2 linked regions of the Cricetulus griseus genome follow. Each later gene encodes a partner of the first gene's protein in a complex. Links are inferred from orthologs where the notes say so. Each region holds a gene or a part of one and is shown on either strand. Other genes may lie near its edges.

The links.
Region 2: Taf1a (region 1) and Polr2k share a complex: the UniProt entries of both Homo sapiens proteins name them as parts of the pol I pre-initiation complex. The link is inferred for Cricetulus griseus from reciprocal best matches to the Homo sapiens genes TAF1A and POLR2K.

What each region holds. Positions count from the first base shown.
Region 1 is NC_048598.1:11,100,793-11,105,615, forward strand, and holds the start of Taf1a (TATA box-binding protein-associated factor RNA polymerase I subunit A), read right to left. Parts: upstream 3,050-4,823; 5' UTR 2,745-3,049; exon of another isoform or gene 2,391-2,744; intron 1,517-2,390; exon of another isoform or gene 1,507-1,516; 5' UTR 1,505-1,506; coding exon 1,381-1,504; intron 1-1,380. UniProt on the Homo sapiens protein: Component of the transcription factor SL1/TIF-IB complex, which is involved in the assembly of the PIC (pre-initiation complex) during RNA polymerase I-dependent transcription.
Region 2 is NC_048603.1:15,287,876-15,292,701, reverse strand, and holds the start of Polr2k (DNA-directed RNA polymerases I, II, and III subunit RPABC4), read left to right. Parts: upstream 1-1,546; 5' UTR 1,547-1,643; intron 1,644-2,718; 5' UTR 2,719-2,727; coding exon 2,728-2,788; intron 2,789-3,338; coding exon 3,339-3,431; intron 3,432-4,747; coding exon 4,748-4,770; 3' UTR 4,771-4,826. UniProt on the Homo sapiens protein: DNA-dependent RNA polymerase catalyzes the transcription of DNA into RNA using the four ribonucleoside triphosphates as substrates.

The DNA of each region.
Region 1 (4,823 bases):
TATCTGAAAGCTAATTAGAAACAGAGAAAAGAAAGAGAGAAAGAAGGAGAGGAGAGAAAGATGGGAAGGAAAGGGATGGAGCCTCTCATGCCTCAGCTGGCTCTCTGAAGCAATCACTGCATTTAGTAAGAGCTACTAAGCTGCTTAGATCACAATTCCAGGCAACCAGCCCACAAAACTGGCACAGTATCTGTTCAAATAGCCTTTATCCACCTAAGAGAAGACTGCTCTCAGGCCAAGTTCCATCTACCTCTTTATGTTTAGAAGTACAGGACTTGAGATCAGACAGACCTGATTTGCTTCCTTATATCATTACTTAAGAGTTTAATTTCGCCACAGAGAAACCTGGGGGAGGGGGGGCGAGTTTAATTTCTTTGCAATTCAGTGTCCTCACATTTACTGAGGACTAAATTACTGGGAATATAAAACTAAATGAATTTTTCTTTTTAAATGGGAGCTAAATTCTTGGAGCCAAGAAATGCATGGAGAGTAATAAGAAAAGTGCAGGTTTAAGTGTATTTAAAGGTCTGACCCATGCAGCATTCCACCACGGCTTCTTCATATAGTCCTATAGACGTTAACCCACTAAAAGCATTGTCTGCATCTACATTAGATTAAAAATGAAGAAAGATGCCTTTTAAACCTATTACATCAATGCTATAAGGAACCATTTCCATTAAACTCAACAGAAATTTCCTTAACATTTCCTATGTATGTGCTCCTCAATGAGACCACATTTTCTTCATCTGTACGTCCCCAATATTCTGCCAATGCCAAATACAAGTGCTCAGTAAAGAGAACTATATTCATATATATAAATTTATACATGTGTAGTTCATAATATAGACTGTGTATTATTTTTTAAAAAGGGCCAGGCCATGGTGGTGCACGCCTTTAATCCCAGCACTCAGGAGGCAGAGGCAGGCAGATCTCTGTGAGTTCGAGACCAGCCTGGTCTACAAGAGCTAGTTCCAGGACAGCCTCCAAAGCCACAGAGAAACCCTGTGTTAAAAAACCAAAAGAATAAAATAAAATTTAAAAAAAAAAGCTACTTCTTCTAATTTCCTTTTTGTCTCCAGCTGTAAGAAAGAAAAGGGAAACCCCCATCTAATCTTATTACAATATTAGGCACCCTGATTCACACCTGTAACCCTAGCACCTGGAGACTAAGGCAAGAACAACCAGGAGTTCTAAACCAGCCTGAGCTACATGAAGTGAGTTCCAGGCAAGCCAGGGATAAACAGCAAGACCCTGTCTAACAACAATAACAACAACAGAAATTAAGGGGGAGGAAAAATGACCTGGCTTGGTCATTCACTTTGTAGCTGTGTTCAGTCTCGACACTTAGTTGCATTAAAGTGAAAGTGCTGTCCCACTTACCTACAGTCTCTATTCGCTCCTGAAGCCACGGGAAATGCATTCCTGGATTAGAGAACACAGAGGTTTCTCTCTTGCCATCCTCTGCCAAAGCAAGCTTTGTCAATTCTTCATCGAAATCGCTCATATCTATTCCAAACTGAGAGTATCAGTTAGCGTCAGTACACGTTAACCCACAGGCACCTGACTTGAGCTGAAAAGCAATCTTTTCTTGTAGCAAAGTCACCTGAGCAGCAGGGCCCATTGTATCTGACAGTTCTTTTCAAGGAAACACTGAATCTGTTTAAGTCAACAACAGCCTAAACTCAAGTCACATTTTTTAAAAATAGAAGTCTGGGGACTAGAGACGGCTCAGCAGTGAAGAGCACTTGCTGCTTTTCTAGAGGACCTGTGCTGGTTCCCAGCACCCATGTTCATGATCTTCTGGAACCCTAGTCCCAGGGCATACAACCACCTTCACAACAGAACATAGGCACACACATGCAGGCACACACCCACACATGTAAAATAAAAAGTTTCTAAAATCCATAAAACATAATACTGCAAAGCTCTGAACCAAGAACATACAAAAATGAGACATCCTTAATTACAAAGTAAAAAAGCTAAAGCTACATAAAGAAACTGAAGAATACATAACACAATATAGCAAGTACAGTAACAGCAGGAGCTAGTATTTACTGGGACTTAACTACATACTTAGACTATAAAATATCTAATTTAATCGCAGCAGCAACCCTATTCTCTCCCACTTAGTAATGAAAACTGTAGGACTTGCTGGGTGGTGGTGGCAGAGGAAGGAAGGAAGGAAGGAAGGAAGGAAGGAAGGAAGGAAGGAAGGAAGGAAGGCTGAAGGACTTATACAAAATACGTAACATGACCAAAAGGAGTGAAGACAGGAGTCTAGCAAATGCAGAGCACACAGACTAGCTGGTGTGACCAAAAAAATGGCTAGGAGGTGGGCAGGGGGCCATGGCAAATAAATGACTCTACAAAAGCAGCCATATGCCACTGACCTTGGATTGAACTGTCGAAAGGGTGCAGACCCCAGTTCTGAGTACCTATCCGGTATTGAAGCTTCGGGTACTGCGATTTAGAATTCCACCAAACGCCCCTCCTTTCTGCAATCCTACGGCGCCACCCTGGCTCCGGACACCTTCAGACTGGTCCAGGGTGAGTGCTCTGGCGCTGCTGGTGTGTGTGTGTGTGTGTGTGTGTGTGTTTTCCGCGACGCTGGAGACGGGCCCGGGTCTCGAGCCTGCTGACTGGCAGCAGCGTCTCCCTGCGGCGCGGGAGGCTGAGGGTGCGTGGTTAGTCACCGCGCCGCGGGGAGGGCGCAGGGCCAGCCCCGGGGTGCTGCTCCACCTCACCTGGGGGCGGCCGGCCCCGCGAGCGCGCACTAAGCCTTGTAGGAAAGCCGACTCCACCGTGGGGCGCCAAAGCCTGAAGCGACGCCTCAATTCAGTGAGGTCGGCCCCACGGACGCTGCGGACGCCTGACGCGAGCCCCGAGTCCTCAGACTGGCGGCGGCGGCGCCGCCACGGTAACCTAAACCTCCCGGCCCGCAACTGACGCTCCCAGAACCGCGGGGCGCTCACACAGCTCTCCCCGGCGCCACGCTCGCCCGATCGCACGCCGCGGGCTGTCAGGGAAAACCCTCTCCGGAAGTCCTCAGCGAGCGCTTCCTGTGAGCCTGCGCATAACCAGCCGGCCGGCGTTCGGGTAGCGCGCTGCGTAGCCCCGCCCTCCGTCGGGCGTGGCCTGGGGGGAGAGCCCAAGAGCCTCGCCAGAAGAGGCTTGACCCGGAAGTGGGTGTTAGCTTCCGCCTTCGCCTTGGTTTGGCCCTGATTACACCTTGATCTGTGCCAGCCAGAAACTGGAAGGTTCCCATCGCAAGACCGGAGTGTGGCCAGGGGGTGCATTGCCGATTCTGATTGCTGCTCTGAAAGTTATTTTCATTACAGTTTTTAGCATCTTGCTGCCTTCACAGTTGGAGCAAGAGTCCGTGTTTCGCTTATCAACGTGGAGTGTTCTGGCGATCGGCCTGGAGTCCGCTCTCAAGAGGGACATTGGCAGCCGTGTATTGATTATGGAGGTGGATAGTGGAATTGCAGTGTCGTATGAGAAGGGGGACGCTGCGAGGGAAGATGACCCTGAAGACTGGCCTGAGATGTTTGGAAAAATACTCTGTGAAGGACTGATCGGTTAATGGGCAGATTATTACACAGATGTGAACAAGCATTAATGAGTAAAAGCTAAAGGGAGGCAACCTTAAAGTCATTGGGAAAAAAACAATAGTTCATAGTTAAGGCTGCATAAATGATGCAATGGATTCCTCCTAAACTCCGAATTTACTGCTTGAAAATAAGAGTCTGAGTTCCATGGAAATTAGCCGGTCTATCATTACTCCTTGCCCTTAAGCCTGTTTTGGTTTGGTTTTGTTAGAACCCCGGAAAACCTCAGGCCTCCAGGGTCTCAGCCCAGGACTGTGGTCACCCTAATCACCAGGCAGATTCGAAAGCTTGCTGCAAACTGCACAAGGCTTTATTGTTTAACGAGCTCGGATAGCAAAGACAGCTCGAAGAGTCTGCATAGAGATCTTATAGGGCAGCAATAAGGGGAGTGTCTAGGGGTACACACAGGCTCAGGATTGGTGTGCCTCCAGGCTTGGAGGGCTTGCCCTGTGTTGATTGGCCAACTGGTTGTTATGGCCCATAGGCCCTCCCAGGGTGGTTGCCATGCTCTTCAAGCCATTGCTGTGCACTTGTCCATAAAGCACACCCAGAGCCGTAAAGCATAGCGCCACCAGCTAACTTCTGATTGGTTCCTTGCCACAGGCAGGCATCTGACTTTCTAGTGACTAGGACAAGGTCATGGCAAGCACGTGTTACTGTCATGTCTGCCGAAATGGGGAGCTGGTCCCTTCAGTTTGTTTGGGTATTTTTTTGGTGGGGGGGAGGTCAAGACAGGGTTTCTCTGTGTAGCTTTGGAGCCTGTCCTGGAACTAGATCTTGTAGACCAGGCTAGTCTTGGATTCACAGAGACCCACCTTCCTCTGCCTCCAGAATCCTGGGACTAAAGATGTGCTCCACCACCGCCTGCCTTAACCCTGCTATTTTTGTTGTTGCTGTTTTTGTTTTGCTTTATTTTGGATTTTCTGAGACGAAGTCTCTATATAGCCCGAGCTATTCTGGAACACACTATGTAGTTAAGGCTGACCTAGAACTCAATGATCAATAGATCTCATAGAGTTCTGCCTTTGTCTCCCAAGTGCTGGGGTTAAGGGTATATGCCACCCATGCCTTGCCTTTAAACCTGTACTTTAACTACAGGCAAAGCTAAATTAAATAATGATGTCACACACTAAGTGATTAGTTTGCCATCGGGAAGCTTGTTCATCAAAATGAATCAACTGATTTTGTTTGTTCATGCTCATAAAAATAGGCAAA
Region 2 (4,826 bases), on another chromosome or scaffold:
GATGGAGGCAGGGAGGGAGGGAGGGAGGGAGGGAGGGGGAGGGAGGAGGGAGGAAATACAAGAGCTAGAGAGGTAGCTCAGCATGTAAGACCACTTGCTGTTTTTGCAAAGGACCAAGTTCAGTTCCCAGCACCCACGTAGGGCGGCTTCTAATAGTCTGTAGCTCCAGTCCAGGGGCTCCGAGGACCTTTTCAGGTCTCTGCTGGCACTAACACAGACAACTCAAAGTAACAACGAAATCTTAGCCGGGTGGTGGTGGCGCACACCTTTAATCCCAGCACTCAGGAGGCAGAGGCAGGCGGATCTCTGTGAGTTCGAGGCCAGCCTGGTCTCCAGAGTGAGTGCCAGGACAGACTCCAAAGCTACAGAGAAATCCTGTCTCGAAAAAACCAAAAACACAAAACAAAGAAACAACGAAATCTTAAAATCTCAGACGTCTAATGTAAGCCCCCTGGAAGCTCAGGCCTCCAGAATCCTTTCCCAGGACTGCGGCCATCCCAATCATCATGAGGAGTCGGAAACTTGATGCAAACAGCAAGAGGCTTTAATGAAAGGTAGACGTTTGTACGAAGGGGCTCTCTCAGCATGCAGGCTAGAGAGCAGCCCCGTCCCCCAGGCACAGGCCTTTTTAAAGGCAAAAACCACAAGCTTAGGGAGGGGTGTGACCAGAGTCACAGGTGCCTAAGAGACCCTTTGTCTTGAGGAGAGGGCTGGGAATCAGATGGCCTCCTGACCCACCAGCTGTAAAACCTGCAGACCTCAGGATATGCTTAGCTTGCTTGAGCAAATGGTACCTATCTCTTTGTTTCACAGGGACACTTAATTGTTAATGATTGACACATTGGCCGGTGGGGCAATCTGTTTTTTTCATGAGCCCCTCGGGGAGGGTGGCCATCTGGGAATTCTTGGTACCCAGTTATATTATGGCCTTGTAAGGGAGTAATTGCTTGCGGCTGGTAAATTCCAGGCCCTAAGTCCTAATAGTGGCCTTAGTTTCCGAGTTAGGCCGCCCTACATTCAGTTTGGAGAGTTTCCTTATCTGGGCTATATTTCTTTGCTAATTTTTAAGTCTTTCACTAGCAAGTGAGAAGCCACACCACCCTTTCTCTACAGCCGGGGCTTAGCCCGGCAGACACACCTGACCGCCCTAGGATTGGGGAGACTTTGTAGCGTGGCTGAGGGCGAGCGTTTAACAGGCTGCTGGGCTGTGTGCGGAGGAAGCAGCTCAAGCGACCGTTTTCCTGAAGATTCACCCCTGCGAGCCACCGAGCTAAGCCAACGGTCCTGAAAAAAAGTATTTTTAATTGACATCTCCGGGGCCTGGGGGAGAGCCGCGCGCTGAAGGGCAGCCAAACAAAAGAGAACCCTGTGCAAACGGCGACGAGCAAATGGCGACGAGCAAATGGCGACGAGCCCGAGTCTCGAACCCGCGACCGCCGCCGGAGCGAGAGCTGCTTTCGGCTTCCGCCGTCGCCTGTGCCCAGCCCGGGCTCTCGGCGGCGGAGGGGACGGGGCGGGGGCGGGGCTCCTGCGCGTCATTAGGCAGCGCCGGAAGCGCGCGGTCCGCGCCGGTAGTGAGTCCGTCACTGAGGACGCGGGGGAACGTTTGTGTGCGTACCGAGACTCTGCTTGGAGCCGCGGAGGTGAGAGATCGGTCTGAGGGCAAAAAAACTGGCTTTAGAAGGTTTTAGAAAGTTCCCGGGTGCCCGGGAGAGCTGGCTCCACGCCGCCTGGGCGCTCGGGAAACGGAGGCAGGGGACTGCCGCCTTCAGCAGACGGACGCCCGGGCTTTGGGGTTGGCTTGGGCGATGAAGTGAGTTCCGGGCCAGCCTGGGCTACCAAGTGGGGAGCCTCTCAAAGAGCCAAATAAACGTAAATAAATGGTCGGTGACTGGGCTGGAGGGGCGGCTCAGAGGTTAAGAGCGCCGATTGCTCCTCCAGAGGTCCCGGGTTCAATTCCCAGCACCCACATGGCAGCTCACAGCTGTCTGCAACTCCAGTTCCAGGGGACCTGACACCCTCACACCAACGCACATAAAATAAAATAAATTTAAAAAATGATTTATGACAAGATCCCCGGCGGAGTTAGCGGATTTTTGTGGGTTTTTTTTTTTTTTAGTTTATTTGTTGTTTGGTTTTTCGAGACAGGGTTTCTAAGTTTATTTTTATTTTTTGTGCATTGGGTATTTTGCATGGATGTCAGCTGGGTGCCCTGGAACTGGGGTTGCACACAGTTGTGAGCTGCTATGTGTGTGCTGGGAATTGAACTCAGGAGGAGCAACCGGTGCTCTTAACCTCTGAGCCATCTCTCCAGCCCCCCCCCCCTTTGCTTCTTAGTGTCGGGAGACGCTGGGCACACAGAGAGCTGTGCTTAGCCTCGGTTTCCCCGAGTGTAAAGAGTGATGCCCTCTGGCACCTTCAAGAGTGTCGTAGACCTTCGAGATGGATTCTGTGTTGTTGAGAATGTGTTTCCTCCTTCAGACCCAGCCCACAGTTGGTGGGGAAGGGGGGGTTTCAAATAAGGAATTATGATTTTTTTCCCCCTCATTCTGTAATACTGGGGTTTGATCCTCGAGCCGCTGTGTTCTGGGCAAACATTCTACACCTGAGATTTTCTCTTCACCCCGGAATCAGGACCTTGCGTAGCTGCTGGGGAAAAGGGAGCCTGGTTGGTTTTGTGTGATGATCTTGTTATTCAAGCTTTGGCTCTGATTTCAGGCACTAGCAATGGACGCGCAGAAAGACGTCCAACCCCCAAAGCAGCAGCCGATGATATATATTTGCGGAGGTAAGATTAACATTTAAGTAGGAACGTTTTTTGTTGTTGTTTTGGTTTTTTGGTTTGTTTGGCTTTTTTTTTTTTTTGCTTTTGTTTTGTTTTTTTGAAACAGGGTTTTTCTGTGGCTTTGGAGCCTATCCTGGAACTCACTCTGTACACCAGGCTGGTCTCCAACTCACAGAGATCCCCCTGCCTCTGCCTCCCTAGTGCTGGGATTAAAGGTATGTGCCACCAATGCCCTGCTTAAGTAGGAACATTTTACCTCAACTTTCCATATATGAGTACTGATCTTCAAAGTTATAAAGCGGAGCACTCAGGAGGCAGAGGCAGGGGGATCTCTGCGAGTTCAAGTGAAACACTTTAGCATCATTAATGTAAAAGTCCCTCGTTAAGATTTGTCTTTTCATCAGGAAAAGGTACGCTGCCGACAGCTCTTTTCTTTCCTCCTTGGTGTATTTAGTTTCGGGGCTTTGACTTGCTCTGGCGAAGTCTGTGGTTATATTTGGTTCCCTGTAGTGTTTCTCTTTCAGGCATTGACTGAACGTGTTTTATTCCCTAGAGTGTCACACGGAAAATGAAATAAAGTCCAGGGATCCAATCAGATGCAGAGAATGTGGATACAGAATAATGTACAAGAAAAGGACAAAAAGATGTATCCTTCTGACTGGGCTTTCTAAACGTAAAGAGGAATAACTAATACTCGGTTGATAAAGACCAAGTTCTGACAAAAGTAGCAACTTTTGGGTTGTTTATTTTTCTAAGCAGATTGAATGTGACTTTATTAATGAAGAGTTTATTAACTGAGAATGTGGGGGGCTCTGAAGGACGTAAATGTATATTATTTTAATATGAATTATTTTTCACCAAACTTGGAGAAAAGAGGCAGGCAGAGCTTTGTGAGTTCAAGGCCAGCTAGAACTACTAAGTGAGACTCAGTGTCAAAAAAAACAAATAGGGGCTAGAGAGACTCGTCAGCAGGCAGGTAAGGGCATCGGCTGTTCTTCCAGAGGACCTGTGTTCTGTTTCTAGCACCAACATAATTACTCATGATCCTCTGTAACTCCAGTTTCGGGGGTCTGATCCCTTTTTCCGACCTCCACCTGTACAAAGGACCCAAGTGTGTGTGTGTGTGTGTGTGTGTGTTTAAAAAACCCTGTAAGTGATTTTAGCTTTTATTTTACTTTTTTTTTTTTAGTTCAAATTAGAAACAAGCCTACTTCGATTGTCAATCCCTGCTCCCTCCTCTCTCTAGCCCTTCACCAACTCACCACATCATCCCCCCCTCTGCTCCCCAGGGAGGGTAAGGCCCTCCATGAGGTATCCCCAAAGTCTGTCATATCGTTTGGGATAGGGCCTAGACCCTCCCCCATGTGTCCAGGCTGAGAGAGCATCCCTCCACGTGGGATGGGCTCCCAAAGTCCTTTTGTACACCAGCTCTTTTTTTTTTAAGTAAACATGATTAGTGTTTTCGTGCCATTCATTATGGGCTCTAAGTAATTAAAAAATTAATCAATTTGGGTTTATGTAAATGTTTTTAGTTTTTTCAGGAATTCTTTGTTAGAAGTAGTCACTCTTGATTGTTAGCTTATGGGTAATCTAAAGTATGGGAGGAGAAATTAATAACCTAGTGGAAAATAGGCCTACAAATTAGTCCAAATACTGAAATTGTTTCAGTGTAACTGACACAGACTCTCAAAATCATCAGTGTTTCAGTGTTTTAAAATATCTTTTTCGTATTATCTTTTAAAATTTACCTATATTGTTATCTTCTGTGTAATAGAGAGTGAACTAATGAAAATGGAAGCTGAGTATTTTATTTTTTTAGATTATCTCCAGTGGCCATAATGAAGTTCAGTCTTTTGTTCGTTTTATATGAAACAGCAAGCTTGGTGCAGAGGTGGTGACTTGGAAGCCTCAGTTTTACATAGTTTTTATGTACTGTTTAAAATCCTTAACTCAGTCCAACAGTGGTGGTTTTTGATGCCCGATGAAGAGTGGGAATTCAGGAGTGTCTTCATTTGCCCCTTTGCTATTTCTCTTTATAGCT